5 linked regions of the Nothobranchius furzeri genome follow. The protein of the gene in region 5 interacts with the protein of the main gene of each other region in a pairwise test. Links are inferred from orthologs where the notes say so. Each region holds a gene or a part of one and is shown on either strand. Other genes may lie near its edges.

Evidence for each region.
Region 1: the proteins of rnf5 (region 5) and abhd16a interact in binary tests that used the Homo sapiens proteins (3 or more experiments, as listed by UniProt). The link is inferred for Nothobranchius furzeri from reciprocal best matches to the Homo sapiens genes RNF5 and ABHD16A.
Region 2: the proteins of rnf5 (region 5) and ube2wb interact in binary tests that used the Homo sapiens proteins (3 or more experiments, as listed by UniProt). The link is inferred for Nothobranchius furzeri from reciprocal best matches to the Homo sapiens genes RNF5 and UBE2W.
Region 3: the proteins of rnf5 (region 5) and slc38a7 interact in binary tests that used the Homo sapiens proteins (3 or more experiments, as listed by UniProt). The two-hybrid records come from large-scale screens. The link is inferred for Nothobranchius furzeri from reciprocal best matches to the Homo sapiens genes RNF5 and SLC38A7.
Region 4: the proteins of rnf5 (region 5) and insig2 interact in binary tests that used the Homo sapiens proteins (3 or more experiments, as listed by UniProt). The two-hybrid records come from large-scale screens. The link is inferred for Nothobranchius furzeri from reciprocal best matches to the Homo sapiens genes RNF5 and INSIG2.

What each region holds. Positions count from the first base shown.
Region 1 is NC_091745.1:74,550,523-74,554,721, reverse strand, and holds the start of abhd16a (phosphatidylserine lipase ABHD16A), read left to right. Parts: upstream 1-1,394; 5' UTR 1,395-1,441; coding exon 1,442-1,543; intron 1,544-1,999; coding exon 2,000-2,056; intron 2,057-2,132; coding exon 2,133-2,199; intron 2,200-4,199. Other genes in the region: g6fl (g6f-like), read left to right, coding at 181-229. UniProt on the Homo sapiens protein: Phosphatidylserine (PS) lipase that mediates the hydrolysis of phosphatidylserine to generate lysophosphatidylserine (LPS). LPS constitutes a class of signaling lipids that regulates immunological and neurological processes.
Region 2 is NC_091747.1:53,051,281-53,054,793, reverse strand, and holds part of ube2wb (probable ubiquitin-conjugating enzyme E2 W-B), read left to right. Parts: intron 1-1,135; coding exon 1,136-1,238; intron 1,239-3,513. UniProt on the Homo sapiens protein: Accepts ubiquitin from the E1 complex and catalyzes its covalent attachment to other proteins.
Region 3 is NC_091749.1:57,963,285-57,967,500, reverse strand, and holds the start of slc38a7 (sodium-coupled neutral amino acid transporter 7), read left to right. Parts: upstream 1-1,411; 5' UTR 1,412-1,515; intron 1,516-1,980; 5' UTR 1,981-2,117; coding exon 2,118-2,369; intron 2,370-2,471; coding exon 2,472-2,525; intron 2,526-3,177; coding exon 3,178-3,322; intron 3,323-3,715; coding exon 3,716-3,860; intron 3,861-3,957; coding exon 3,958-4,056; intron 4,057-4,162; coding exon 4,163-4,216. UniProt on the Homo sapiens protein: Symporter that selectively cotransports sodium ions and amino acids, such as L-glutamine and L-asparagine from the lysosome into the cytoplasm and may participates in mTORC1 activation. The transport activity requires an acidic lysosomal lumen.
Region 4 is NC_091754.1:36,998,987-37,002,980, reverse strand, and holds the start of insig2 (insulin-induced gene 2 protein), read left to right. Parts: upstream 1-1,193; 5' UTR 1,194-1,355; intron 1,356-2,351; exon of another isoform or gene 2,352-2,480; intron 2,481-2,674; 5' UTR 2,675-2,701; coding exon 2,702-2,790; intron 2,791-3,039; coding exon 3,040-3,212; intron 3,213-3,994. UniProt on the Homo sapiens protein: Oxysterol-binding protein that mediates feedback control of cholesterol synthesis by controlling both endoplasmic reticulum to Golgi transport of SCAP and degradation of HMGCR.
Region 5 is NC_091759.1:8,560,393-8,564,445, reverse strand, and holds the start of rnf5 (E3 ubiquitin-protein ligase RNF5), read left to right. Parts: upstream 1-1,247; 5' UTR 1,248-1,577; coding exon 1,578-1,783; intron 1,784-3,939; coding exon 3,940-3,958; intron 3,959-4,053. UniProt on the Homo sapiens protein: Membrane-bound E3 ubiquitin-protein ligase that mediates ubiquitination of target proteins. May function together with E2 ubiquitin-conjugating enzymes UBE2D1/UBCH5A and UBE2D2/UBC4.

The sequences.
Region 1 (4,199 bases), on a different chromosome or scaffold from region 5:
TGTTGTTGCTGCGTGGGCTGCCTCTGTTTGTGTTTAAGAAAAAATATAAAAAGATTGGGGGACGGGAGATTTTTCACCGAGTTTGTCTTTGTTCTCTGTTTTCAGGTACGAGCAGTGTCAGGGCTGATCTCCTATCCACATTTCATCCTCATCCACCTGTCACATTCTCTCACTTCACAGCTGCAACAAAGGCCTTTGTGAACAACGGAACGTCGGAGTTTGGACTTGAATAAAAACTTTTATGTTTATTGGAAATGCTTGTGGTTTTGTTTGGGTTTTTAATCTACATTAGCAGCTGCTCTTTGCAGGGGCGTGTCCAGAGAGTTCCCAAGGATAGCACATGCCACCCTTTGAGTCTGATTGGCCACCCCACTGAGTTTTGTTTAAAGATAAAGTCCCATTAGTCGTTATCACACACTGTTGAAATTACATCTCCACGTTTGAGCTATCCCTGTAGGGAGTGGTGACCTGCAGCAGTGGTTTGGAACAATTTGGCTATTCAATTCCCCAACCCAACCTCTTAAAGCTGAATGTCTAGCAGGGAGGCACTGGGTCCCGATTTTAACTCATTGATCTCCTAGTCCCAGTGTGGACACTAACCACCAGGCCCCTGAGAAGGTAACTTTACAATGTACAGAAAGGCTTGAGGTTACAAACCACAAGCTTGTACCTTAAACCAGGGGTTCCCAAAATATTTTCTTTGAGGACCCCCTTGCTGGTGTCCAAGACAAGCCAGGACCCCCAACCCCAAGTCCTACACACATACACACATTATGTGACCAGTTACTATCTTTATACAGAGGTATAACTTATACTTGGAGTTCTGTCATTATGTTATTGGGATTTTATAAATGTTATTTTTTCAAATGAAATCTTGTTAACCACACAACCATAGCAAAGACAAAATTGTTGGGACCCCCTGCAATCTTGTGGGGACCCCCTTGGGGGCCCCGACCCCCAATTTGGGAACCCCTGCCTTAAACAATGGTTTCTAGCCCCAACCTACAGAACCTTTCTGTATTATTGTTTATTTTGTTTTGTTTATTTCATATTGACATGAATAGCAGTTAGAGTACTGGTACCACTGCACCCCAGTTGGGAAGAAGAAGAAGAAGAAGAAGAAGAAGAAGAAGAAGACCATGGCACAATGTGGAGCTCACAAATTCACTAGAGTGCAAAAATATGTATTATTATTATTATTATTATTATTATTATTATTATTATTATTATTATTATTATTGCTGCTGCTGTTGTTGTTGCCAAGCATTTCAGATCACACCTTCCTGTATTTGTGTGTGTAACAGAGAATAGTTTTATAAAAGGAAACTTTTGTTTCTAAAATTACTGGATTGTCATTTTTCACCTCGCCGAATGTCGGAGCGCTTTCGCAGTTTCGACGGGAGTGGTCGGCGCGGGCTTCCGTCGAGATCGCAGTGGAGCAATGGCGGACTGGCTGTGGGTGCGCTGTGTTTTTGGGCCTCATCTTCAACGAATTCACCGGCCCCCGGACCAGCCTCGAACCGAAAGCAGGTCGTCCAGAAGGGTAGGAACGGACAGATGATGTTTTGAGTTGTTTTAGAACCGCGGAGACTGGAAAGGTGTTCAGTTTTATCGCTGCTTTTCTAGCTGATATTGAATCCTTGCTAGTGCTAACCCCGGAATGACAGTTTGAAATGAATGAAACTATAACAACACTCTTATTTATCTATTTAAAATGTCTGCCAGTTTTACCTTCGCTGTAAAATATTCACTTTAACATTAGCTTACGTTTTCTTGTTTTGACATTTTGAGAACAAAGGTTAGCCAAAAGAGAGTGTGATGAAACACATAATGGAAAAAGAGAACAAATGCAAAACAACAAGGGCTGAAAATCTTCTAAAATGTTAAAAAAAGCTTCTACATACCCAGAATGTGCTGTCTGCGTGACATGACTATGCTAGCTAAGCTAATGTCTGTTGTTCTCAGTTATAAAAACACTAAATACGGTTTTCTCTAACAGGGATTGAACTACCGACCCAGAGGTCTGGAAAAGCACACCGACAGCATTATTGGCTGGGTCTGTATTACATTCTATGTGATTTAGATGGAAGAATTTTAAATGAATTAGACTTAAGTTTGTCCTCGCTTTTTAGGCTTCAGTGCTGTGGTCCCTGTCCTACTACAGCTCCCCTCTTCTCCTGGGGTATCTGTACAGAAAAGGTTGGTCCAGTTACAGGCTTTCACTTTCACTATCTGCTGGTGCTTAACAACGGACAAAACTATTTGAATTTAAGTCGTTACTGATTTATAGGAAAACTACTTTCCTTTGAAGCTGCGTGGCAGATCCAGGATTTGTCAGAGTACAGGGCCATAAAAGGGCCATAATATTTATTGAGGGGCCAAGTAGTAAGTAGTGTTATTTGTGGAGATAAAACCGCAACATTGCAAAGCAAATGAAGTCAATGGAAGAGTCTTGTTGCAGTGTTGGCTCAAGATGGTGGCACGCACAGGTGCAGCAGCTCAGCGCTCTCTCTTTCTCTGTTTTGTTTGGGTACTTGTGTGTGTGAAGTGCTACTACTCACAATAATGTGCTGCTCAGCCTACACCATCTACAGCCGACACAATCTCTTACGAACAGGGCTTAACAGCGAGCAAATATTGAATTGTGTAAGACGAAAGCAACGTGACTGTTGTGTACACGTGGCATGTGTTTTTTTAATTAACTTATTTTTTAGCTAGGTTCTACTTTTAATGTTTTTTACTATTATTATTTTTCATGCTTCTTAGGAGAGAGTACTTTGAATTTTCGTTGTACTTGTGTAATGACAATGAAGGCATTCATTCATTCTGTTAGCCAATCAGAGGCGAGATAGCCGAATACCAGAAAATAAAATTCCAGATCCTGCCGGCTTCTTCTCCTCTCTGATCTAGCTCACTATACAAGTGTGTAGAAAAAAAACCCGAGTGAACTTGGTCTTTAAATAAACAAAATCCACTGTTATGGATATATTACAACTTCATTTTATATATATACATATATATACACATATGCATATATATATTCATATATGTATGTATATATATATATATGTATATATATATATATATGTATATGTGTGTGTGTGTGTATATATATATATATTATATATATGTGTGTATATATATACATATATATACATATATGTATAAATATATATGTATATATATATAAAATGAAATTGTAATATATCCATAACAGTGGATTTTGTTTATTTAAAGACCAAGTTCACTCGGGGTTTTTTTCTACACACCTGCAGTGGTCTCTATGTGAATAAATGCCTTGTGGGAAAACTCTGAGAGAAATAATCTCTGGCTTCCCTGTTTCATATATATGTATATGTATATATGTATATATATATATATATATATATATATATATATATATATACAGAAATTATCTAATTATTTTTCACAATAATCCATAATTTTTTTCAGATGAGGAGTTTGTATTAGCAAGAAACTGGAGATACGATATATTAACTATACGAAGAAGAGTGTGATACGATATACTAACCCTAACCCCATTACACACATTAAATTTAGTTAAACTTATCTTTGTTATTAAAAGAAAAAAATGTTTAACATGATATAGTTTTTACGTCGTGGTGTGCTGTCTTAAATTCACATGTTTAAATTCTGAAAGGGGTTTGTAGATGTAATTTAGTAAGATTACTACGGATGTCCCATTCCGATATCGGCCCAAAAACACTATGAGATTATATCGGACTGCATCAAAAACCTCCGATATAACAAGTCCGTTAAGGCTCACATTTTTGCAACCAATGGCTTAAAAAACATTTTCATTTTTTTTCATACTTACTGTTATTGGCTCTTGTTCTCTGATTGAGTACCGTATTTTCCGGAGTATAAGTTGCACCAGCCATAAAATGTATAATGAAGAAGTAAAAAACATATATAAATCGTACTGGACTATAAGTCGCATTTTAGGGTAAATTTTATTATTTTTCTTACAAAATCTGAGACAAAGCGTTTCACATTGCAAAACAAGTACTGGTAACAGTAACAGAATAAACAACCAGGGCGCAGCAGCGCGCCACGGTCTCCAGCAGAGGATGGCGGTGTTTCAAACCCTCACAGCGGACGGGGAGAGCTCATTCCTGGGCCGGAGCTCGCCACAGGCTGCAGCAGGTAATGGCAGGGCAGGAGCTTATTCCTGGTCC
Region 2 (3,513 bases), on a different chromosome or scaffold from region 5:
AAAGATTAAAGTCCCATAGTTGTCACTAGGGCTGCACAATATATCGTAAATATATTGTTATCGCGATATCAGCTTGCACAATATGCATATCACAAAGAACAGATAAATATCGCAATGAATGATCAGCTCAAATGTTTGCTACACATAATGCATTCTGTCAATCAAATGGAAGCCTGATGTTTTTTTTAACAAATCAAATAGAGCTCTTCACCCATTTGGCCAAAAGGGTGGGTTCTCATAGATTAGATGCCCGCCCCTGAGGCGGACAGTACTTAATTTTGATGGTTAGCAAACACATGAGTTAGCTTTGTTCTGCTCTTTTTGCTGATTCTGCTTTTCCTGGGATCCACTGATTACCTTTTCTTGTTCATTATCTTTTTCCCTTTCCTCACATCTTTTGCTTTTCTCGTTTTTTTTTTTCTTCTTTGTTTTTGATTATTTTTGTTCATGAGATAAGTTTTTATTTATTGCAAGTAATATTGTTATCGCAATTTAATCATTGTTATCGAATATAGCCGGTTTTCCTAATATCGTGCAGCCCTAGTTGTCACACACACTTGTGTGGGGAGGCGCGGTGTGCTGCAGACACGGCTGCGCTCGGGAACTATTTCGTAGTTTAACCCCCCAATCCAACCCTTTAAAGCTGTGTCAAGCATTGGGTCCCATTTTTAAAGGCCAAGTAAAAATGCCTTTGTTACCAAGACGAGACCAAGCACATATAATATTAATATCAGATAAGGAGAAACAGCCAGCTGCTACCACTTCAACTTAAGGACAAACTACCAGAGTCCCAAAAAGAAAAAACACCATTTGAAGTCACAGACACCAAAGATGTTTAGGCATAGAAAAATGTGATTGTTGATTTGTGCTCTCCCATTTACTCTGGCAATGCGCATTCCCGTATTGGGGGGCGTGGCCTAGCCGACGGAGGTATGAGAGTCTTTTGACTGTGTTTATATGGAATGGCCAACTTGCTGTGCTGATTTGGTAAAGCAGCTTCAATACCAATGGTTCAGAAAATATGATTACCACCCCTGTAACGTTTATATTCGACAGTAAACATTTGGGTAACCTGTGTTCTTTATTGGGGCACCGGGGGAATGTTTTAGTCATCATTGTCCTTTTTTGTTTTTAGGTGGATTGTAGATATGGAGGGAGCGCCCGGTACACTCTATGAAGGAGAGAAATTTCAGCTGCTATTCAAATTTAGTAGTCGATATCCTTTTGATTCACCTCAGGTAAGAGCAAAGGGTGTGTGTGTGTGTGTGTGTGTGTGTGTGTGTGTGTGTGTGTGTGTGTGTGTGTGTGTGTGTGTGTGTGTGTGTGTGTGTGTTCGCATATTTAAATGGGTCCTACAATTCAACAACCACTTTTACCTTGTTGTTGAATAGAGGCAACTTGAGATGTCTATGTAGCGTACCAAAAAGTCTGCAACTTGTAAATTAGTAAAGTTGTAATGGTCACGGAGAAACGGTTCATCCTGACAAAAACTGGTTTAACGCGTCATAAGCATAGACGCACCTCCCTACATTAGCATGCTCCAACCCACTTCAACATCCGCAATGAATAAACTTTGATCTCAGTAATGCTAACTGCAGAAAAATGCTAGCCCGAGCTACTGCTAATGTTCTTATAAACAAAGGGAAAACACATGTAACGTTCCAGGATGTACAGGGTATATCCAAACTTATAATGAATGCCAGATAGATCTGTAGCTTTCTATTGAATAATATGGATATTGTACACTGCTGTACAGAGATTCTAGCTTGAGCAGTGTCATTGAGCCATTAAACCAGCCAATCAGCATGCAGCTCATTTAATATTCATTATCAGAGCTCCTAGGGCATTGTGGACCCCAACAAAGTGTCATGTGCTTTATATGGCGCTTGCACACTAGCGTCGTAACGGTCGGGGTTTGGTCGGGCAGGATGGCGTGAGTTTGGGCTGGTATGGTCGGTGTAGTGTTTACATATTAATCCGAGGAACTTCTCAAGATGCGGAAATCCCCAAGCCTGTGGGGGGCGCTTAATACGCGCGGGAAAGTCCGTTCCATAAGGTACCAAAAGGCGGACATGAGCTGTGTTGCTTTTGGAGACTCTGAACCACATTATTTTATTAATTTACTCTGTGTCCCCTCATAATCTTGTGCCGCCCACCCCCTGATTTCTCCCCTGAGCAGCTGTCTGCTTGCGAGGGGCAAGAGCTCCGATGCGGAGAATGGGAGCATGCATGCACACACACACACTCAAACAAAGCTATTCTTTTCTCCCGCTCCCACACTTAATAGCAGCTCCGGATCGGCAGCTCCGTGCAACAGACAGAAGTTAACTCAACAGCATCCAGCATGAAAATGAACCGCACATGCAGGAACCCCCGGCTGGCTGATTCTTCTCGCAGATCGGAGGCGGTAGGCGTAATTTCAGCCGGCCAGTCAGTCCGTAGTGTCGCCTCGGTCCCAGTCTGACCGCTGGGGAGAAGGTCTGGGAAAAAGTCGCCTCGGCACTGAAAACGCTAATCGGACCGGTGTGTGAAACCAAATTCCGGTGCCGTTCGGTACCTTATGGGCCCGTACCTACGCTAATGTGTAAGCGCCAATAGAGGCTCAAAGAAAAGCTGTTGTAGATCCACGTTTGTGGATCTTTATCCATACCATACCATACCAAGTTTATTTATAAAGCACATTTAAAAACAGCATGACAGCTGACCAAAGTGCTGTACAGTAGTAGTAAAAGGAAAACCCCAAGATAAAAACAAGATAAATATCATAAAAGAGATAAAAGGGATAACCTAAAAATGTAAAAGAAACATACTAGAGTAAAAACAAAGTCACAATAAAAACAATGCTAAAAGGTTAGCACATTTCAACAGGGAAGATTCTATAACAATAAAAGCTTGGTCATTGATCAAAAGCTAAATAGTAGAAGTAGTCCTTCAGTACAGACTTGAATCAACCCAGTTCTGGGGCCTGTCGAACACTAAGGGTGAGAGCATTCCAAAGTTTAGGAGCAGCGAACACAAAGGCCCGCTCCCCACGAGATTTATACTTCATTTTTGGGATGTACAAAAGTAAATGATCTGCTGATCTCAGGGTTCTGGGTGGAACATGAGGCATGAGCAGTTCTGACAGATGAGCAGAGGCTTGACCATTCAGGATGTTGTAAACTAAGGTTAAGACCTTAAACTGGATACGATATTTAACCGGCAGCTAGTGCAAGCGTGCAAGGACAGGTGAAATGTGACAGCGTCAAGAGGTGTTTGTCAGGAATCTAGCCGCTGCATTCTGCACTCTCTGAAGCCTTATCCAGCCTAGTTGAAAGGGTCACTCATTTCTTACACTGTCTTAGCTTCAGTTTTCTTTTATGATGTTTTGACAGTAATGTTTGAATTCAGCATCACTAGATGATCCGATATTGGCACCTATCTGTTAAGAGTTCTGCAGCGGGGGCACTAAAGCCCAGAGGACCACTTTTCTAAACTTAAGTGGAAAAACTTTTGTGTCTACCTTATGGGTGG
Region 3 (4,216 bases), on a different chromosome or scaffold from region 5:
GAGCTCGGCCTTTAGTCGTTCCTTTTCTTATCTGGATTTCATAATTAAATTTAACGGTTGTTTATTTTCGGGTTTTTCAGCTTTTTCACTGATCGGGATCCCCTAGCAAAGTAAAAAAAATCTGTTTTTCCTTTTTGAGCTCGATATCCTATTTATTACACGGAGTCATCTGTGAACTATTGTCCTACTAAATGTACACTCTTGACCTGCTGTGGGCTCATTCACCCATTTAAACAACAAACACCTTGAGGTAATCTATAATAGCTTCAGATGCAGGTTGAGATCTCTGTTGCTTTGTGGAAGCTTGTAGGAAAAGCTTTATTTTTTTATTAGATTTATGTAATAATGGTGGTGTAGCACTTAAAACTATGTGTGACAATATTTAAGTTTGGAATTACTGGATATATAGGTATTTGTCAGGTTATCTATTAGTTTAACCTGATCAGTCATTCAGTTCTTTATTGTTTATTTGTCTTTATTTACAAATGGCTCTTCTCTTATTTTCAGTTCTTTTCCTACAGGTTTTGTAAATCTTATGGTTTCAATCTAAGTGACCACAAGGCAGCAGTCTCAGCTGGTCTTTTGAAAACCCTGAATGCTAAATAAGCACCAAAGTCAAGAGTGAAACAAAAGTAAGCAGAGTACTGAAACACTATATCATTGACTGACTTCTGTTTAATACATTTCCATGTTTGTTAAAATATCATACCAATGAATTTGGATTGACAACGGCTATGTTTACTGTCTCGTCTCGGAAGGAAAAAGGTCATTCATTTGCTCAGACGTCTTGTTTCAGTGTTTGCATCTCTTCCTTGAAACTGGGAGACACTGATTATAATGTGAGTTTGATTCCCTTTGCTCATATTTCTGGAGCTTTGTCTCATGCTGGTGCTTCCTGTGTGATCTGAAGGTCATGGGTCATGTACACTGCAGAACAAATAAATCATTCGAAGAGTCATTTTTTTGTGTACTTGTTTTTTCACATACTATGTACGTATCACTTCATGCATCAGGGAATTTTGTACAAATTTTCATTCTGATTAGAAGAAACAACTTCACAACGACAAAAATTTAAAAATGAATGAAAATGATACAAAATAGCACAATGAGAAAACTAAAATGTAAGGAAGGAGATAATGAATAAAGTGATAATCAGTGGGTCCTGGCAATGGCAGAAATGGTAGAAAGAGCTGAATGAGGAGAGGGTAAGATGAAGGTCATGCTGAATAAAGATTGGATTTTATTTATGATAAAACATTTTTTGGTTTTGTGTCAGTTTTGACATCAAATTCTAGTAGCTCCAATCACTACAAAAATGCATAATTTTATTCGAAAATGTATCTTTCCTTTGTACGTTTTTGCATTAACAGGAACTTCAACTCCCAAAGTTCTCTGCGAGCGGAAAATTGACGGTATCGAGTCACGCGAGGAAGAAGATTCCTTCCGGTCCTCCACTTTGAACAAGCTGCCAAAACACATCGGGGGCTCAGTCTTTCCCCCAGATGGAGGTAGAAGGTAATGAAATAGTAATTTTCTGTTATTATAGTTTTATAATTTCTCTTAAAATATACAATGAAGTTTATTTGTCGTGATTAAATAAATACGCGGTCTGTTTTGAAAAATTATGGTTTCGTTTGTTCTCGCTAGCTTCCGTTGGACAGAGCTGCGATGGTGTTCTCTCAAATGAAATGAAATAAAAAAAAAACTCATCTCTCTTTTGTTGAAAAACGATGGGTTTACCACATCCTGCCTTTGTTCCCTTACATTCTCTGTCAGCAGATTCACCTCAACAGTTTAAAATCAGATCCTGTCAGCTAAAATTGCGTTTATTTGTGTTCGCATAGTGACGAAAAACGCAGGTGTGTTTAACTTAGACAGTAACTATAAAAGCTTTTACCTCTAAGATTAATTGTTTTAAAACCACTACACTTTCACTGTTATTTACCAACACTTTGGGGTCTAATCTTTGTCTCGTTACAGATCAACCATCAGCAGTAAATGGACTTACTGCTACTTGATAAGAACCTCCAGCTGCTTGCTGATCAATCTGCACATTCACTTCTATCTGCATCCAGGTGTCCTCACGCAGACTTTTAGGTTCACTGTACATTTTTCTAATGGCAATCAATACGGATATTGAGGACTGGGGTGGAATGGGCAGCAGTGACTCTGGGGAAAGAGCATGGCTCTTGCAGAGCCCCAGTGTGGATTCGGTCCCGCGCCCCGAGCTGGAGGAGAGAAACCAAAATGTGTCACCCCTGGGAGCGGTTTTCATTGTGGTGAATGCAGCACTAGGAGCAGGTCTGCTGAACTTCCCAGCAGCCTTCAGCATGGCAGGAGGAGTAACTGCAGGAGTGGTTCTTCAGATGGTGAGGACTCATCAGTCCTCCGTTTTGTTCAAGGCTTAATCTCTGCTGCTGTCAGCTGATGCTTTTGTGTTTTTGTTCAAATGTTCTGTTTCTGTGTTTCAGTTTATGTTGATCTTCATCATCAATGGACTTGTAATCCTTGGCTACTGCTCTGTGGTATGTACTCTTTTACTTAGTTTTACTTTTAATTGCAAATGGAACCCTAGACTTCTAACCCGTTTTGTCTGCCTTCATATTTTCTCCCACTTGTGGCTTAAAAGAAAAGATCCATTGTGAAACATTTTTTTCATTCTGTGCATCAAATGCAGAACTTTGCACACAAGTCAGGACTTTCAGTTCCTCAATCACTCAAATGTTCATGTGCTGAAACAAATGGTGGCAATAAAAAAACAGCAAATAGTCACTTTGATTCATTCTCTAGAGATAATTGAATGTGTGCAATGGACACAGAACATATCACCTGAACAATAACATAAAAACAAGGATCCTGCATCCTAAATTCCTACTTACTCATTAATTAATTTTAAGTTAAATAATTAACAGCGATGCTCTCCAGAAGAGCATCAATATGGCTGCTGCATGCTAAATGAGAGTAGGCATGCAAAATAAATGAGTGCTATTCCTCAGATGGAATACATTTTATGTCTGGACTGTTTTTTAAGCACCCTGGAAAAACTCCGTTAATGTCCCTCTCATACGGCATGTTAATTACATAACAATCAACGGAAAATAGTGAATGACAAACTTTTTGGTGTAAATTTGTTTGTACATATTAATAAACCATTAAAAATCATCTGGCTGGTTTCAGGTCAGTAATGAAGCCACCTATCAGGAGGTTGTTCGAGCCACTTGTGGAAAGGTCACAGGCGTCATATGTGAAGTCGCCATTGCTGTCTACACCTTCGGCACGTGCATCGCTTTCTTCATCGTCATTGGAGACCAGCTTGATCGCTGTGAGTGTATATAACCAACTCATGAGCTGCGTTGGTTTTGGTCACATCAGAGTAAAATTTGTAGAATGACCCTTTAATGGATTAAAATCAGCCTTTCCTCTGAGTTTACATGTTTTGCGTAGCAGCAAGTGAAACATAACGTCTTGTTCTGTCAATGACGAGGGCAAAGAGCATCGAGAATGACCCCACTCAGCATTTCTCTGTCAGTGTGCCTCTCATGTCACTCGGGCGTTCTTTCACCGAGATGCTGACTGAGTGGAAATCCTGATGTCTTTTACTTTATTTAAATTGTGCATGACTTTAATCATGTTTCAGTTTTCATTCTCCGTTCGTCCTCATCATGCTACGTTTCCCAGCCTCCCAAAGTCATGCAACTCTTGTTTACTGCTCCAGTGATCGCTGCAATGGTTCACAGCACAGACAGTGCAGCCGCCGGCCCCTGGTACACCGATAGAAAGTTTACCATCGTCGTTACTGCAGTCCTGGTCATCCTTCCTTTGTCTATCCCCAAAGAGATTGGCTTTCAAAAATATGCCAGGTAACGACATATCTAACAATCGAATCTACTGCTTTTTTAAACTCCGATTTATCATTTTTCTAACTTTTAAACTCTTTGCTAACCACATCTGCTGTAGTGCCCTTAGTGTGATGGGAACCTGGTACGTGACCATCGTGGTCATTGTGAAATACATCTGGCCGAGCAAAAACATGTCTCCAGATTACGTCTCAACCAGGTAAGTCCTAGCATATATTTCCATCCTGGAGTTTGTAATAAAACAGCAGCACTGTCCGAACCCTCTGCATCAGGCGTATCTATTTTTTTTATTTTTATGTTTGCAGTTCATCTTCCTGGACTGCAGTTTTTAACGCTATGCCCACCATATGTTTTGGTTT
Region 4 (3,994 bases), on a different chromosome or scaffold from region 5:
CAGCAAAAGGTTGGTCATTATATGCCTGCCCTAAATGAACTGGTATGGAAATGAAACCATAGATAGACAACATCTGTATCATCTCCACTTGAACTCATCAGGCAGTGGGGTCAAATTAGGTGCTGTTAGAACATTAGTTTTATTAAACATTTATTTTACATGAAATACATGAGATTAATAATCTCTTGTGTCCCCGTCCCATTGGGAACACTTAAAAAAAGAACTAGGGTTAAAACAATCTAAAAAAACTGAAGTTTTCAACAAAATTCTGTAAGCTAAGTTTTTCGAAAAACCTGTGTGATAAATTAATTCTTTCATCTCAATGACAGGAGCCAATATTGTATACTTGTATAGCGCCTTTCAGACTCTGAGGACCTCATTATTATTATTATTATTATTATTATTATTATTATTATTATTATTATTATTATTAACAATCCAGTAATATTATTATTATTAGTAGTAGTAGTAGTAGTACTTGTACTACTACTACTACTACTACTACCACTACAACTATTAATAATAATAATAATAGTATTAATATTGATAATAATAATAATTAATAATAATAAATTAGTCATCCAAATAATGTTTGTGTTGACGTTGGTGAAACATGCATTACTTGTAGAAAATAAGCTTTTGTTTCTGTCCATAATTGTTTTGAAACTCCACCAAATCCTGATTAATTTGATTATTCTTAATATTTTTCAAGTTCAAGACAACCTGTGAGTTTTCCAAACGCAAATTCTGGTTACATAAGCGTTTTTTGGGGGATATTTTCAGTCATTCGATCCGAGCAGTTGGACTTTTGAATGAAAATGCTAGGGCAGCCCACTCGTTGATTGGTCCCAGTCACGTGACCCGATGCTGTGCTTGAACCATTCAAGTTGAATGATTCAGTAAACACTCAGATTAATACCTACAAGGAGTAGATAGCTGCTTCTCTAATTCTTGCTACTTTTTACATTAATAATTTTATCATGAGTGTTTTATTAGTTCTTATATTTGCTTATCTCTTAATTAATTTTTTTCTATCTTACCTTCTTCACCAAAATACCGCAGCAATTTCCTAATGTTGTGACTTGGCACACATATGGCAATAAAAACTTCTGATTCTGAGCGTGTAACTTTGATCACGTGATATGTCAACGATATTTTTTATAGGGATTACGTCACGGATCTCGATGTTGATTGGTTTCTGGAACTCAGTCCCGGAAGTAGCTAGAAGCGGAGACAGAAGCTTCTATTTAAAGGGGGATATATACTGGTGTAGTTTCTCCACGTGAACAGCTTCAAATGTCTCCTGGAGAGTGTCGCTGCGTTCAGCCCACCCCCTAACCCTCAGCCATTATAAGGTAAGGAGGTTTGACTTTAACCCGTTTTCCAGGACGGACCTCAGCTAGCTCACATGTACCAAACTAAGCCTCAGCTAGCTTTACCTCCACTTGTTCCCTAACTTACTTTTATTTAAGTGACGTGTTTAGTCATTTATTTAGTGCTGCAGCAGTTTGGTTCATGGGAGCAAGTGTTGCTGACAGGCTGAGGTCAAACACGCGATGACAGCATTTCCGGTTCTAGGGAAAAGTCCAAATCTCCTTCTGCGTCTCCTGACCTCTGCCCTGGACCTCATCTGAAAGTGTTAGAAGGCCGAAGAAGAAACCTGTGAGATTTAGGGGGAGAGGACAGACTAACGTGCATCTGTTTACGGCCGACCTTCGTCCGGTGTTGCGGTTTAACGTGGGACATTAATAAAGAGTCGGTGACCTTCCGGTAGCGTGGGTGGTCGCTGTTCTCTTGTTTACTGATCAAACCTGGAGAGTTTCAGCTCCAGCGTCTGACTCCTGTTATTATTTTAACTGCAACGTTTCCAGTCAGTCTGGTGTCTTCTGTTGTAATAATAATAATAATAATAATAGTAATAGTAATACTACTACTAATAATAATAATGTGTGTACTAGGTATTTATTATGACACATTTTCTTGGAGAGACCGTGAAACGTACTCGGTAAAATTTGGTACAGCAGGCCGACAGTTGTGTGTTTATGGGAAAACCGTTTGTGTTTCGTTTCTGTGGTCCTGCTGAAAAGTGCAGAGCTCCACATGCCACCTTTCTGTGTGCTAGACAGGACCCGCAGCAGTGTTTAGTTTGTGTGTTTTTCCTATTTGTCTGGAAAGGACACTGTAGTGGTGGTTCCTTTGTTTGTCAACTCACTTCATATTTTCCAACTTTAAAAGCCGCTGCTGCACTGTGGTAACGTTTCGTACGCTGGCAGAAGTTGTTCAGGGTCCAAACTTGAAAGCTGCGTTTTCTTCAAGGTTTATTTTCCAGGTTGGCAACACAGATCCTGTTTTCCATTGTTTCCTGCTGCTTCTCCTGCTCTGGTAAAAAACCATACGCACACCCCAGTGCATGCTGGTCCTATACCAGTGCCTCCTTATACAAAATACCCAGTGATTGTTTTCCTGACTGACTTACAAAGGTAAACAACAAAACAAACTACAAAAATAAACAACTATTAATCCACGAATAAACTTTATAAATGCTTAAAAAAATAAAGTGAACTAATCACAAATTTAAAGAAAATACACAACAATAACACATAAGGAGCTCCAGCAGACACTAAACTCTTCTAAAAGGAGCTCATGCACTTTTTTGTTTGTTTTCCCGGTTCAGTCTCACGGATGTCCCTGACTGACAACCATGAGCAACAGTGATCGGCGGCAGCGGCCGGGGTCCAAAGAGTCACACCGGTGCTCCTGGGGACCGTATATCTCAGCCATCACCAACAGGTAAGCCTTCAGAGTTGCTGGGTGGGTCTGTAATGCCCTGTTAGTACTGACTTACCAACATCACAGCATTTACATAGTTGGATTCTTCTAGTGAGAACCCTGAAGAGCCCGTTTTACAGTTGAATAACTCTGATCTACAACAGTGGGGTGTAACGTGTTTGTAGCATAAACTGTACCAAACACTGTGCCCTAAACAGATTAAAATTTACTTCACAATAAAAACAAAATGTCCTTCACTTTGCTATCCAGGACCACCAACTTGTTTATACGAGGGGGCATGCTGTTCTCTGTGGGCGTCTTCCTGGCTCTTGTGCTGAACTTACTTCAGGTGCAGAGAAATGTCACTCTTTTCCCTCCAGATGTCATCAGCAGCATCTTCTCCTCAGCATGGTGGGTGCCGCCCTGCTGTGGCACAGCCTCAGGTGTGTAAAAAGAAAAAAAGGCTTTAGCGTAGATGAGAGCAACACATCTAAGTATTTCGGCCCTGAGCAGTGCTCCCACCCCTGCTGGGAGAACTGAACCCTCCCTGTGAACGAGAAACCGATCATATCAGAGCCACATCCCTCATTTTAGCGTCCCCTTCTCTTTAGGGAAGTTAACAGCAACTTTTCAAACATTTGCATAGAAGCAGCAACATGATGACCCCCCCCCAACACACACACATGCACAAAGGTGGCAGATCCATTTGAGAAACACTGGACTGATATCACACCCCCTGCACTCTAGAGGGGAGGAATCCTCACCACCTAGTGACATTGTGGGATGGGGCTCAGGACTGGATTCGTGAATGTGATCTGTCCCCTGGGCAGGTCTCAGGCTGTTAGAAGGTCTCCATCAGCCACACTTGTAGAAGCTTGCAATAGCATAGCTGGTATGCATACACACATTTCCCTGTGGGATGTGTAACATGCCCGTCGGGCTTCAACACACGCACGCACGCACACACACACACACACACTGTGGAACTGAAGCAGTACTGTGCTTTGAGGCCCCAGCGAGGGCATCAGCATTGTGTTGACAGTGCTAAAGTCCGTTTAAACCCGCATTCGTTGAGTAGAGGTCACCCAGATGTAAGCTTTGCTGCAACTCCTAACACACTTCCTGATGCTAATTATCAGTATGTGCAGTAATCTTGGGACCAGTTCAATGGTAGGTAGCAGGATGACACACTCACTCTAAACTGATGGAAAAAATAATTAATCTT
Region 5 (4,053 bases):
CGCAGTGAAGTTGTGGATATGTCGCGACAACCTTCCAGCAATGCTCTATGTGACGTTCTGGCAACGTCGTAGCGGAACTTCACTTTGGAAGTCGCTACTACGTAACATACGACGTTCCTGCAACATCGAATATAGTTTATGATCCTGAAAGAATAAACAACACTTTCAAAAACTTTTACCAAACTTTGTACTCACCACAGACAAACCCATCAGATGCCGAGCTCAATTAATTCCTTGACAGGATAACACTTCCTAAATAGACCCTTTTACTGTTTGTAAACAATATGACGTCAGCGAGAAGGCGCGCGCAGCTTGGCAACAGAGAATGGCGTTGTGTCAGGCTTTATCAAGCTACGCTGCGGGGTTATCACCGGCAAATCTTGAATGTTATATTATTAAACTCACTTTAACGAATCGCAACAGACTCCCGGATCCCTGAGGCATTACGGAATGGGTGGAAGATGTAGGTGCGTGGCCAGATATCCAGTGGCCCGATATATATACGTTTTTAGTGGAGAGGCCCAGTAAGTACACACGTGAGAAGCTACGGGCATACAAATCGTTAGATGCATACAACTATGTTGTCTGTGGCCACGTACAGAAAGTAAAATATCACCACATAGACTCTGAGTTTTGCATCTTGAAGGCAGAAGTCCTTCCTAGCCACAGACGCCTCTGATTTTGTTGAAATGGATGTGCTCCCTTTGGAATTCTGTAAAGTTTCAGTCCAGTGCTTGAAGAGAAGCGATTCTGGCATCCATACACGCAACAACCCGACATTTTTATGTGCTCAGAACTTCAAAACAAAGGGTTTAAAACGCTGTTTTAGTATTGAGTATGAATGAGGAAGCCTTCACTCTCGTTGCCAGGCTGCACGCGCAACTTTTGATGACGTAGGTAGTAAAAGGGTCTATTACCAGACAGCCAAGCTACAATACTGGACTCGCATGACAAGGTGTCAGAAAATACGTTGTGACTACGTTGTTGCAACAGACCTGTGTTGGTAGGGAACAATTACTAAAAGAAGGAAGAAAGAAAACATCTTTTATGTAGCACCTCTCAAAATAAAAATCATAAGGCGCTTCACAAAAACAAATAATTAAGATATAAAGATTTTTTTAAAAATTATGTTTAAATTAGAAAAAAAAATATGAGGAAAGGGAGAGAGAAAATGAATAGGAAAGAAAGAAGAGGCAGAAAGAAAAAAAACTTCTTTATAAAAAGCTGTAAGAAAAAAAATCTGTCTGCACAAAAATAAAACAAGAGTCATTACATATTAGATTGTTTTACGTTCTTTCAAAATAATGGTGTCGAATGTACTATTAAAATATGAACTTGCTTTTGTTATGGCCACGCCCCTTTCCTCGTGTCTAATGCCCGCCCCCGGCCTACGGAGTCAGGGGAAACGGAGTCGGGCGCTTTTAACGGGAGCGCCACCGGGGCTGGTCCGCTCCGTCCAAAGGTCCTTTGTAGCAGCAGCAGCAGCTACCTCTGACTAGCGGTTTACGTTAGCTCGGGCCGGCCCTGTTGGGTTGAGTTGGCTCGGTGTGTTACGCTCTTAAACCAGGTCAGTAAACATGGCGGCCACGAATCCCCGCTTCTCGAGTGACGGTGGGCCGGCCAGCAAAGAAGGGTTCCCGGCTGGAGAGAGCAGCAACGACCGAGACGGACCGGATGGAGGCGGCAACGGCGACAGCCAACGGGACCGAGCCTCGTTCGAGTGCAACATTTGTTTGGACACAGCCAGGGACGCTGTCATCAGCATGTGCGGACACTTGTTCTGGTATGAAACGGTTTTCATGCGTTTGTTTGGCCTCGGTTTACCGATATGTAGTCGATGGCAGAGACACGCCCCGCGACGTCCCGTCTGATCCGAGGCGACAGCGGCCAAAATGGCTCACTGTTCCTGTGCTGGGTGTCCGTTTACTGCCAGCTGGTTTTAGTGGCTCCTGGTGTGAAAGGATGAATGTATGTACTCCTGGTGTGAAAGGATGAATGTATCATGTTATCTGATTTAGTTCCGCCCCGCTCTGCGAGACACAAAAACAAACCACTTTTTCATCAGTTCATTCTGAGTTTGACTAAAATCACTTAATTATGTCACGTTTACAATAAAAATTCAGGCTTTTTTTTGGTGAGATCATTGTTTTTTTTTTTATTTTGGAACATCTGACATGCCAGCAAATCTAAAAATCTCATAAAATTGTTACTTTTTAGGATGCATCTTTTCTGTACCTAAAAGCTGCTTTTAGTGCTTTCTTCTATCAGTGTCACAGAAACTTGCACAAAACCTGACCTTGAAAACTTGTTGAAAATGTACACACAATCACAGGTGTGTGTGTGTGTGTGTGTGTGTGTGTGTGTGTGTGTGTGTGTGTGTGTGTGTGTGTGTGTGTGCGCGCGCGCGCGCGTGATTCACGAACTGTGTGCACTAATGATCTCTTAAGCTAAGGCTAGTGGGAGTTTATAGCCAACAAGTAGGATTGAGGTCAACTGTAGGGTCACTGTGATCAGAAGTGTGTGTGTGTTTGACTGCAGTTATTATTATGCATTTTCCTAAATCTGGACTTTTAAGCATCCTTTCTGGGTGACATTGCAGTTTTGCCTCTAAAGCGTGTGCACAACAGTTGTGTTTGAATCATTTTCCAAACCGAAGTAACCACAAACTTGTAGAGACTTGTAGAGCTAAAAATCTGGCAACTATTTTATGCACACGTCTTATTTATGCATAATTTCATGCACTCTTTGACTTTGGACTTTGTCTAAGGGGGGGGGGGGAATAGTTGAGCCGTAAATTCCCTCATGTTTATCTAAATGTTAATGTTTCTAAGTCTTTGGCTAGAAAACCCGTTTCTGGACTCTGGACATCTGGAATTTAGATGTTCTGTATTATGTTGATCATTTTTTGGTCATTGGGATAATTTCCTGCTGCACATTTGTGAGCGATGCAGTTGCTATGTTACGTCGGTCCTTCTGCTCCTGGGACTCAAGTGCAGTGTGATGAAACTTTTCAGCAAGAAGGACAAGAGCTGACATCAGTTAATCTGCTGCAACTTCAGATTAATCTTACAGCAGCGCATTAGTACAGTTAATTAAAACACACAGGGGGTTAAAGTTCAAATGTGTTAGAAGTCCCTGTAATTGTTGCTCTTAATTGGTCTTTGTGTTCAAATGGTTCTGAAATCATAAAACAAATGAGTTTAGCAGATAATGTTAGTTTGTGTCGACTAAAATGTCAATTCAGGTTGCAGAAATCACATCTTTATTCACTTTTTCTGGTCGATTTAACCCGTTTCTGTGTCTGTTGCCTTTGGACTTTGATCAGCTGTTTTGTGTTTACAGGAGCACACACACACACCCATCAGGTCATGTGACTCAGCTGGTTTCTGTTGTTTTCACATGACGTCATTTAAATAACTCGGTTTGAGTACTTCGCAGTCGTGAATACAGGATTAACTAATCCAAATCCCTGCCTTATTTGGAAATGATAAAAGTCAGTAAACAAACCAAGGACTTTTTAACCCTCCCACTGTCCTAACGGGTGACCCTGCGAGGAAAGTTGACCATAGAGCAGGATTGATGGCGGGAGGGTTGAGTAAAACACCTTCCTTAGGAGGGAGCGTTATGCTACCTGGGGACTTTGTGGACATGCTCTTCAACACATCTGTGGGTGTGGGTGTGTATGTGTGTGTGTGTGTGTTGGGAATTTCTTCCAAAATCATGGAGCACCAACATTATTCCCACATCGCATTAGCAGGTTGGCCTCTCCAACCTTTGATGACAGATGGAGCCAATTAAAACAAACGAATGGGAGCAGTACTGGTTTTAGGAGGTTTTTCAAGACTAATCTAATCCCAAAAAAATGAATCTGCTCAGGAAATGTCACAGATCTGAGCTGCTGTGAAAATGTAAAATAATCCCGTCTCTCTCTCTCTACAGCTGGCCCTGTCTTCACCAAGTAAGTACTTCCTCTCTCTCATCTTTTTACAGGCTGATTTAATCAGATCAGGCTCACCCAATCTCCTTTAATCCACATTAAATAATGTCTGTTGT